Xenopus tropicalis: one gene and its partners. The protein of the gene in region 2 interacts with the protein of the main gene of each other region in a pairwise test. Links are inferred from orthologs where the notes say so. Each region holds a gene or a part of one and is shown on either strand. Other genes may lie near its edges. The genes, in order: satb1, pias4 and smad7.

Region 1 (3,250 bases), on a different chromosome or scaffold from region 2:
TATCAAATGGGGTGAAAAGCTTATACTGCAAAGTATCTTATATATCTGCAAAGTATATAAATTCTATGCTCAGAATAGAAGCTGCACTCATAACATGGGATACTGTACTGTAACAAATATGAATTAGCTTAGCATAACTAAACTCATTTAGTTGGGCTGTATAAAAAGTGCTCAATCTAAACTTAAACATATAAATATAAATGTATTTTTGATTTACAGAAACATAGCTGATTCCACAGATTAAAGGACACAGTGATAACTCCATAGAGCTGTTTCCCAAGATCCCTTAATACTGACATTGTAATGCACTCACTTTGTTCCATTGTAAACTGATAGATTCTGGGACTGGAAGTCTCTCTGCTTACCATAGTGGGTGGTGCACAGACTCTCTAGAAAGCAGAGCGACTTTAGGCCCCAGAATTCAGCAAGATAAGGGTGAGGTTTGCATTACAGTCAGAGAGGGGTGAGAAACTGGAAAACACACAGACACAAGCTTTTATGGTTTCCTATAATCTGTGGAATTGGGTATGTCTGTAAAAATAAAATACATTTATATTTATTATATCTTATAATTTATATCTGGAAGTTCAAATAATGTTTAAGAATAAAACCATGTAATATAAGAACATAACCATTTCAAACTTCTGTTTTACCTACCTGAATCTGTTCTGCAGAAACATGGATCACATGAGATGGCCTTTCACTGTGCTGATGAACCGCATTGCTCTCTTGCTCATAAATCACATCTCTTTCTGTTTGGGGAAGACTTAGGAACCTTCGAATCATTGAAAGGTTCTCCCACAGAGTCCTGTTTTCCGGTGAAGGGTCTTCTTTCCATCGTAATAGTTCACACAGCCAGCCCTAAAAATAAAAAAAATAAAAAAGGAATGTTACTATGACTGGTAATCATATGCCAACATATATTTATCAGTACTGCTGTTCAGCAGTGACCCAGATATTTGAACCATCTACGCATTTGAATTTTACATAAACAGCATTCTATATAGTAACAGACATTAAAGGAAAATATATGTTACATCGGATTGGGTTACCCTCCATATAGTTCCCCAGCAGGAGTTTTCTGTTCAAGCCCCCTTGGAGGTCCAACCTTTGTTGAAAGAACATCCTCAGCTAGCACATAACAAAGTTACATATTTTTAGTGTATCAGCATTTTAACAACTATAAGTCTCACACCGGCTAAAATATATCTAACTCTATGTTTCTCAACACACACACACACTGGCGTTCTCATTTCTTCTCCATGAATGGTATATACAGGTATCGGTTCCCTTATCCAGAAACCCATTATCCAGAAAGTTCCAAATTACAGAAAGGCCATCTCTCATAGACTCCATTTTAATCAAATAATTCACATTTTTAAAAATGGTTTCCTTTTTCTCTGTAATAATAAAACAGTCCCTTGTACTTAATCCCAACTAAGATATAATTAATCCTTATTGGAGCCATTGGGTCAAATTACTGTTAAAATAATTGTTTTAGTAAACAAAGTAGGCGATCCAAATTACGCAAAGATCTATTATCCAGAAAACCCCAGGTCCTGAGCATTCTGAATAATGGGTCCCATTCCTGTACTTTACAGAGAACATTTTATTATTCGAATGCACCCCTTCCCAGCCCCCCCAGTAGTTGTCCTGTGTATTTTGTAATCATAGAAGGTCCCACATAAACATTACAAAGCATACAAACCCTTTATAGATAGCTTACTGGTTCAAGCTCAGCATCAGAGCCGGGCTGGCCCACTGGGACCAGGAAAAATCCTGGTGGCCCAATCCTCTTCGGCCCTGACATGTATATGTTAAGATTCATGAACATTAGAAATGGCCATACCTGACCATCTTTCCATTTTTCCCCTGATTGGCAGCCAAGTAAGCAAGTAGTGGAGTTGGAGTGGGGCAGACAGGGGGTGGCGGTGCCCAAGTGGTGGGCACTGGGTACCCCAATCTGACCCAGCATCTCAACACTGCATGGCAGCAATGTTTACTACTGTGTACATACTGTATCTATCATACACACTGTTGACTTGAGAGTCTTTTTAACATTAATGCCAAGTAACTGCATGTCAATCACTTGGATTTGGCCAAGCGGTTTGAGAACTGCCAGATTTCCCTTATTTCAATGATAGAAACAAATATAGAGTCTGCTCTGTCAGAGAACCAATTTTAAGACTAATTTTTTAATGGGCGTATTAGGAAAAATCTAGAGAATTCAGCTAATCCTCCATTTAAAAGATGAAAAGGTGACAGTCCAAATGAAACAATGTACTTTGATACTTGTTGATACGTGTAACAAATGGCAGATGGTGAAGGTGCAATGTCTACATTATTTTTAGACAACAAAAATTGCTATAAGAAGGCACGAAAGCCAAGTAAATTATTTGAACTTCAGGATGTTGCTGATTTTGAACTGTCAGAGTTTTATTTGACACCTTCTGTTCTAAATGCTGTTGCTATTCAAAATTCTGCCTTTAGTCCATGCCAGTAACCTTGCCCTCCCTTTAGTTTAATTGGTGGAATGAGATGCATAGAAACTGAAAATGCCATGCAGATGAATGCTGGGCTGTGTTCAAACCTGCTGTATACAACACAAATCCTGTAAAGTTATGTATTGTAAAGGGAAATTTATTGAGAAATAAAGGTCTTAAATCCATCTGCCACACAAGAATTATTATTATGCACTGCGTTAGAAACAAGTGCCATCTGCAAATGTCTTGCAACAGTAAGCAAGGAAATGCTTAACAATTCAATTCTCTTATTTAATATATAGAAGGCAAAAGATACTCAAAGATAAAAATCACAAATGCCCACAAATGCGGAATAAAAATTCAGGTTTGGCCTGTGAAAATAAAAGGCTTGAATGTTTAAAAAAAATAAATAAAATATATATATATATATATATATATACTAAAGAATACAGTATAAACAATAGTATACAAACATTTCCCATCATACATAAAATAATTGTGTAACTGGGAAACACGCATTATATCAAATGCTGGCCCTGTCACGCAGGTTCTGGTTATCCAGAATGGTCAGGACCTCGGGGTTTCTGGATAAGGGATCTTTCTGTAATTTAGACCTCCTTACCATAAGCCTACTAAAAAAAAATTATTTAAAAGTTAAATTAACCCAATAGGATCCCAATTATATCTTAGTTTGGATTAAGTACAAGGTATTGTTTTATTATGACAAAGAAATTGTTCTTCAATTTTTTGATTAAAATTAAGTCTAT
Region 2 (3,658 bases):
GATGGTTCCAGACCCTAGAGAACAGAGGCCTGTTAAATATCTGTTACTGGTACATGCAGGGAGATTTTTTGGATACCTTGGCCTGCTTTATTAACTCTTACAGGCCTGTATAACATTCATTTATTCATACTTTTTGAAGGAACAGATTACAGTGAGATATATTAGGGGTTTCTGCCTCGTGTTTGGGTAACAAATTTTGGTTCAGAAGCTGGAGTTCCCCTAAAGAAATAATTGAACTGCATCTTTATGACTGCTATAATTGATTGTAACCAGTCAATTAAGGCATATTTTTTCCCAAAAGTGAACATTTTTATCCAATCAAGCCATGTTTATTTTTTTTTTCTTTGAAATACAGTTTTTATATATCAGCAATAAATGTATGGCTTTGAAGCTACTCCTTCTTTGAGAGGCTAATGATACCCCAGCATATCCTTTTATACCCCAGATATCCTTTGAGAGGCTGATGATACCCCAGCATAATGGACTTCTGTTTCTGTGCACTGGTAATTGAATAACTCGCAAGGAAGTAGCTTCAGTTTACGTTTTTAGATCAAGAAACAAAAACCTATGAATCAATAGTTTGTTGACCCCACTATCAAATTCCACTCCTAGTCAAGTGCAGAATAATATATAATACATAAGGTATAATACATTGGTGTTTTTTTTTTTTTTTACTATGGTAGTCAGCTTGTATATAGAAGTCTCATTTAAGATAGTTACTTTAAAGGTTTAACTAATACAAAAATATGTATCACTTACCCAGCTCAGTTGGCTTTAAGAGTTCATCCACCACATCATAGAAAGGCAACTTGACCAATCGCACCTCAGGCTTGGTAATAACTTTTGGAGGCAACCTTGAGAGCCCATTAACATGTTTCCCATACAAAGATGGGTAGTCTATATTAGGTGTAGAAAGAGAAGTCCTGGGTCCAGAGACTCCGTGGTCATAGGATGGGTGAATAGACAAAGACTCAGGTGCACGATGTGATGTGATAGGCTGGGGTGGAGCTTGGGAGATTGCCTCTGTGCCTTTCTTTGCGTAGCGAGTTTCATAAAGCTCTTTAATTTTCTTGAAAACCTCTGGGCTGCAATCAAACTGTACCAGCTGTAGAGCCCGTGTGACCAGTTCATGTTTCAAGCCACTTTTACTGCGCCCAACAAATCCCAGGAGCATTTGCAAATCTGACACTCGAAAACTCATTACCATGTTCTGAAAAAGAGAAAGCAATTTCAAATTGGTACCCACACTAAAAGCGTTATACCAAATAATCACCGATAACATAATTTTGGTGGTAAATTAAATGGGCAGTACGCAAAACAAAGCAAAGCATGGCAAACAGGGAAAATGCAGCTACTCTGATACTTGGGAGGTAAATAATTAGATTACCAGTATAACCCGCCTCCTTTTAGTACAAATACAGGCAGGGAGATTTAGTCACCTAGATCAGTGCTGTCCAACTTCTGTGGTACCGAGGGCCGGAATTTTTCCGACCTACGTGGTAGAGGGCCGATAATGGAAGCCAGTTTTGACCACTCCCCTTTTTGAAACCGCACCCACTTGAAACCACACCTATGTTATCACATGACCATACCCATATTAATGGTTGTAGTACAGCAAATACCTGCCATACTCTGCCTTCCCTACCCTGCCTGTGTGTGCCATACTCTGCCTTCCCTACCCTGCCTGTGTCTGCCATACTCTGCCTTCCCTACCCTGCCTGTGTGTGCCATACTCTGCCTGCCCTACCCTGCCTGCGCCATACTCTGCCTTCCCTACCCTGCCTGTGTGTGCCATACTCTGCCTTCCCTACCCTGCCTGCGTGTGCCATACTCTGCCTTCCCTACCCTGCCTGTGTGTGCCATACTCTGCCTTCCCTACCCTGCCTGTGTGTGCCATACTCTGCCTTCCCTACCCTGCATGTGTGTGCCATACTCTCTCTGCCCTGTATGGCACACACAGGCAGCATACAGTGACACAATGTTGGCACTGCTCCTACAGTCTGCACAATAACTATATATTAAAAAAAAACAAAAAAACTTTTTAATTGCAGTACCACCTCAGTTCTTTTTCTAGTGTGCAGGGTTTATTTGTGGGTTTCTACTGTTGTCTGAGGTGTGAACAGGTAAACAATGTGGGTGATTACAGCCTGAGCCTGAGGTGTGAACACTGCAGGTATTAAAAGGTGTGAACAACACAGTGGATTACATTTTTAAACAATACAGAGGGATTACAGCCTGAATCTGAGGTGTGAGCCATACAGGGGGGGGGGGCAGTTAATCACAGTACTGATACCATTTAAAGCTTACATAAGAGTAAGCCATCAAAGCAGCCAGGCAGGTGGGGGGCCACACAGAGGGGGGTCGCGGGCCGCCAGTTGGACAGCACTGACCTAGATAATAAAAATCCAGTTGCGGCAACTAATCGCCACTGCGACTTGTACTGTTAGTGAATTACGGATGCACCAACTTGTGTATATTTTAAAGGAAATATTGTCACCATGACTGTATTTTTAGACATAGCAACTGCAGGTTTTAAAAGAAACGCAAACTAATCGCCTTGTCTGTTTTCACCCTCCGTGTTGTTCACCCTCCGTTGTTTGTTAGCAGGCATTCATCTAATTATATACTTTTCAAGGACCAAACAAGTAGCTTCGATCTGACTGTTTAGCTCAAGAAAAACCATAATTTTTTCCACATAAAATCAAAAGCATATGGTACAGCCACCCCTTTTCATAAGTTAAAAACACAAAACCAAGCTAGAGCCACACTGCCTACTTGTAGGTGGCTATGGTCCCCTTCATGGAGCACAAAAAGCAAGTTTCTAGTTATAAGAAACAGTTACATTTGATCAGCGCATTCCAAGAAGATACTTTTATTGATATATTTATAATCTGTACAGTGCTAAAATAGATATGATTCTATATCAAGTCAGCTTAGATACATTTTGGAATTTAGTGTCACAGAAACAACAAATATTAACAGTGCTTGGTGCTTCTCAGGCAACTAATACTACACACAGCATTTTTAGAATGAAAAAGACCAGTAATTGTACTGCTGGCATTTTAGATAAGAGTGACTCTGCGCCTTCAGCCCAATAGAGAGAAAATCTTAGGGCTAAGACACACAGAGCAATTAGTCACCACGACTTTTTAATAAGTCAAGCAATTAGTCGCAGTGGCTGCAATAATACTCTACAACAAGCAGTCGCTGTGACCATGTTTTTAAAAAGTTGCGGCGACTAATCGCTGCATGTCTGCGCCCTTAAAGACCACCACCAGAAACAATCAGGGATGCAGCCAAAAAACTTCACTCTAATGCCTACTGCAGGAGGTAGTTAATGACTCACTATAGCCAATAAAAGTAACTGACTTGATGGCAAAGCTGGTATACTGCCTCCATTAGGGGAAGGAAGGAATCTGCCAAATTAAACAAAATTTTACACATGTTCCACCATTTATTTCAAATAATTTATGCAAAACTAGTTCAGCGATACCTAAGATATGGTACAATGCTAGAATACACAAAAGGCAGTTTATATCTGCTGTCTTCATATATTTAGTGTACTTGTAAAAAAATGTTTAGATTTCCGTATTCAATGAAAAAACAAACCAATTACATTATATTAAATACAATATAACACACTGAAAGAGAGATTAGT
Region 3 (3,658 bases), about 110 Mb from region 2:
TTGGGAATACTTCCTACTGTATGAGCAGCACATATACAGAACATTCCTTCTCTGTGTACTGGCATTTAACCCTACGAGTAGGGGCTGCCATATTGTTTTGCACTGTTAGTAGTTTCGGTCTTATTTTTTTTTTTTTTTTTAAATATATATATTTGGTGGTACATCTCTGGGCATGAAGGGGTTAGCAGAGAGGCAGCACATAGCCTGCAATTTATCTGAGGCAGGCAATTACCATAATCTGAAAACTTCTCCTTACTGACGTCTGTCTGAAAATTGCTGGGTGTACAGGCGGGCCCTGGAGATGAAAGGCAAAAATGCAGGCTTAAGGATTTTCTTTCACGCAATAGGGTGCCTACAGCCTCGCTTTTATAGACATTTCCTGACCTTTTTTTTTTTTTTTACTTTTTTTTTTTGCATTTCGCTCAGAATGCATTTATTTTGTTTGCAGCCGATTGTGCTTTCCAAGAAATGCCATCTTTCCCCTTCCAGCCTGGCATGTACGGGCATTACCAGGGCTGGCGTGCCTTAGTGTGCGGTTCCAGTACAGGCATGATGGGAATTTAGATTTTTGGTTATGAAGCGCCTATAGGTTTTTGTTAATAATCACTTTATTAATGGCTTTTTTTGGGGGGGGGGTTGAAGCACACCCCCCCCTTTACTTATAAATTCCTTTCTCCATAGAAGTACTGTAGTTTCAAAAGGTTAGGTTAAAGGTAACCTGATCCGATTGCACCAACAAAAACCCTCCCTAAACACTCTCCTCCACCGCTCCCTCCTTTGCACCCCTCCCCACAAATTTTTTTTTTCTTTCCCTCTTTCACCGCTCGCTGCGTTTTAGTGCCAGGTTTCAGTGGGATAAAGATATTTGAAACAAAGTATTGTGAGGCACCGAGAAGGGGGCTGTGCGAGGCGACCAGGCACACCTAAGCGCCTCTGAATTCCTTCTGCTTAGGAATATTTGCACCCCCCCCCCCGCCCATTACTGTTCTGCTACCCCTCAAAAACAAATCAAACAACAAAAAAACTAATCAAGGCAGATTAACTTGCTTTAAATCTCCCCAAAATTTCAGATATTGCGATGTAGGTGGGCATTCCATAAAGGCCTGGGTGCACTAAGGAAGGACAAAATGCAAGAGTAACACCGTGTATACAGAAGCAAGATGGTGGCAGCAACTGTTGCTATTGCTGCTGCAGACCTATAGGCCCCTTGGCAGTATTTTTGATAGTGGGGCGCTGCAGTGCTTGTTTTGCCCCCGGGCCCTACTAAAATACTAAAGGCCTCCCTGCACTGAGCCGATTTCTCTCTCTCGCCGCTGGGAGGAAACTTGCAGGGAAAAGCTGAGTGCACTTTTGCTAACAAATACAAGACTTCCGGTCTCCACCCTGCACACCGCAAACCACAGACTTAATAGGCTCGGTTAAATCTATAATTCATCTGACGTCTGAGTTATACCTTTTTATTACCGAGGCTCCAGCAAGAAGCGTTAAAGGCTCTGTGTAAACCATACAGCAGATAATATGCTGCCTTTCATTCGGCCCCCTCTAAAAAAAGCTGGAGGCCCAAATAGCAGCATGTATTAGGCTGGCAATTAAAATTAAAAAAAGGAACCAGGGTTGTATGGCTCAGCAGCTATTAATGTGCGCCGGGCAGATATCTCTGAGTTTTAACACATTTTCTGTGGCAAAACATGTTGAAGCTTATTGTGTGCCCAGAACATTCCTTCTCTGTATATTTGTATTTATACATATGGGTAGGGTGCCATAGTGTTTCTCTTAGACAGTACAGTATGGGGGTACAGCTTATTGTGTGCCCAGAACATTCCTTCTCTGTATATTTGTATTTATACATATGGGTAGGGGGTGCCATAGTGTTTCCCTTAGACAGTACAGTATGGGGGGTACAGCTTATTGTGTGCCCAGAACATTCCTTCTCTGTATATTTGTATTTATACATATGGGTAGGAGGTGCCATATTGTTTCCCTTAGACAGTACAGTATGGGGGTACAGCTTATTGTGTGCCCAGAACATTCCTTCTCTGTATATTTGTATTTATACATATGGGTAGGAGGTGCCATAGTGTTTCTCTTAGACAGTACAGTATGGGGGTACAGCTTATTGTGTGCCCAGAACATTCCTTCTCTGTATATTTGTATTTATACATATGGGTAGGGGGTGCCATAGTGTTTCCCTTAGACAGTACAGTATGGGGGGTACAGCTTATTGTGTGCCCAGAACATTCCTTCTCTGTATATTTGTATTTATACATATGGGTAGGAGGTGCCATATTGTTTCCCTTAGACAGTACAGTATGGGGGTACAGCTTATTGTGTGCCCAGAACATTCCTTCTCTGTATATTTGTATTTATACTTGTGGGAGCCCAGTATAATAACCCAGCTGCCATCTGTATACACGGAATATTTACTATAATGATACAGTGATTTTTGTTGTATCCTGATTTTAATCCTTTCCCCTTTTTTTGTCAGCAGATTCCCAACTTCTTCACGAGACTGGGGACCCGTCCCACTGGTGCGTGGTGGCGTATTGGGAAGAGAAAACGAGGGTGGGTCGCTTATACTCTGTCCAAGAGCCCTCCCTGGATATCTTCTATGATCTACCTCAAGGGAACGGCTTCTGCCTTGGGCAGTTGAACTCGGACAATAAAAGTCAGTTGGTGCAGAAGGTCCGCAGCAAAATCGGATACGGGATCCAGCTGACCAAGGAGGTCGACGGCGTGTGGGTCTATAACCGCAGCAGTTACCCCATCTTCATCAAGTCTGCCACACTGGACAACCCGGACTCTAGGACGTTATTGGTCCACAAAGTGTTCCCTGGATTTTCCATCAAAGCGTTTGACTACGAGAAGGCTTACAGTTTGCAGAGACCCAATGACCACGAGTTCATGCAGCAACCATGGACCGGATTTACTGTACAGATAAGCTTTGTCAAAGGCTGGGGCCAATGTTACACGAGACAGTTCATCAGCAGTTGCCCGTGCTGGCTGGAGGTGATATTCAATAACCGGTGACTCGGAGACGAGCGGACATCTGGACTCTCAACTACTTTGCTGCTAATATTTCCTCCTGAGTGCTTGCTTCTTCATGCGGACTCGCTCTTTCTTTGTTTTTACGTCATTTTTTTTTTTTGTTGTTGTCGTCGTTCGTTTTGAGAAATAGCTTATGTCAAGAATGACCTTTTCCCTGTTCTATTCTTTACCCGAGTGAATGACTTCCGGCCAAGCTTGCCCCCGGGTAGGGGATGGGTGTTTGGGCAACGCGTGGAGTGTGCTTGTAATGTTTTTTTTGGGGGGGGGGGGAAATCGACCGCTTTCTTGTGCAATGAGTAGACAATATTTTTGTGGGGGAGGGGGCCGAGTGATGCAGAATTAAGTTCAGTATTTTGTCATTTTATTTTTGCATATGGGTGACCACTGCTTACACCTCACGTCTCTTCGTTTCTGCCCGGCACGCTTTATGGGGTATGAAGTGGGCGACTTTAGAGCAACATCTAAGGTGCTTTTATTGGTTAGTTGCAGGGATAAATGGATGCTGATGTTGTTGCTTAGCAACAGCAGTGACAGTGATAATAATAAAGGCACCTTAGGCTGCTCCGCTACTGTTCCTGCTATCCTATAGCCAAACAAGCACTGCAGACTCTTC

Evidence for each region.
Region 1: the proteins of pias4 (region 2) and satb1 interact in a two-hybrid assay, tested with the Homo sapiens proteins (2 studies listed by BioGRID and IntAct). The link is inferred for Xenopus tropicalis from reciprocal best matches to the Homo sapiens genes PIAS4 and SATB1.
Region 3: the proteins of pias4 (region 2) and smad7 interact in a two-hybrid assay, tested with the Homo sapiens proteins (2 studies listed by BioGRID and IntAct). The link is inferred for Xenopus tropicalis from reciprocal best matches to the Homo sapiens genes PIAS4 and SMAD7.

The regions. Positions count from the first base shown.
Region 1 is NC_030682.2:45,021,799-45,025,048, forward strand, and holds part of satb1 (DNA-binding protein SATB1), read right to left. Parts: intron 862-3,250; coding exon 658-861; intron 1-657. UniProt on the Homo sapiens protein: Crucial silencing factor contributing to the initiation of X inactivation mediated by Xist RNA that occurs during embryogenesis and in lymphoma.
Region 2 is NC_030677.2:93,068,885-93,072,542, forward strand, and holds part of pias4 (E3 SUMO-protein ligase PIAS4), read right to left. Parts: intron 1,211-3,658; coding exon 760-1,210; intron 1-759.
Region 3 is NC_030677.2:205,572,847-205,576,504, reverse strand, and holds part of smad7 (mothers against decapentaplegic homolog 7), read left to right. Parts: intron 1-2,485; coding exon 2,486-3,027; 3' UTR 3,028-3,658. UniProt on the Homo sapiens protein: Antagonist of signaling by TGF-beta (transforming growth factor) type 1 receptor superfamily members; has been shown to inhibit TGF-beta (Transforming growth factor) and activin signaling by associating with their receptors thus preventing SMAD2 access.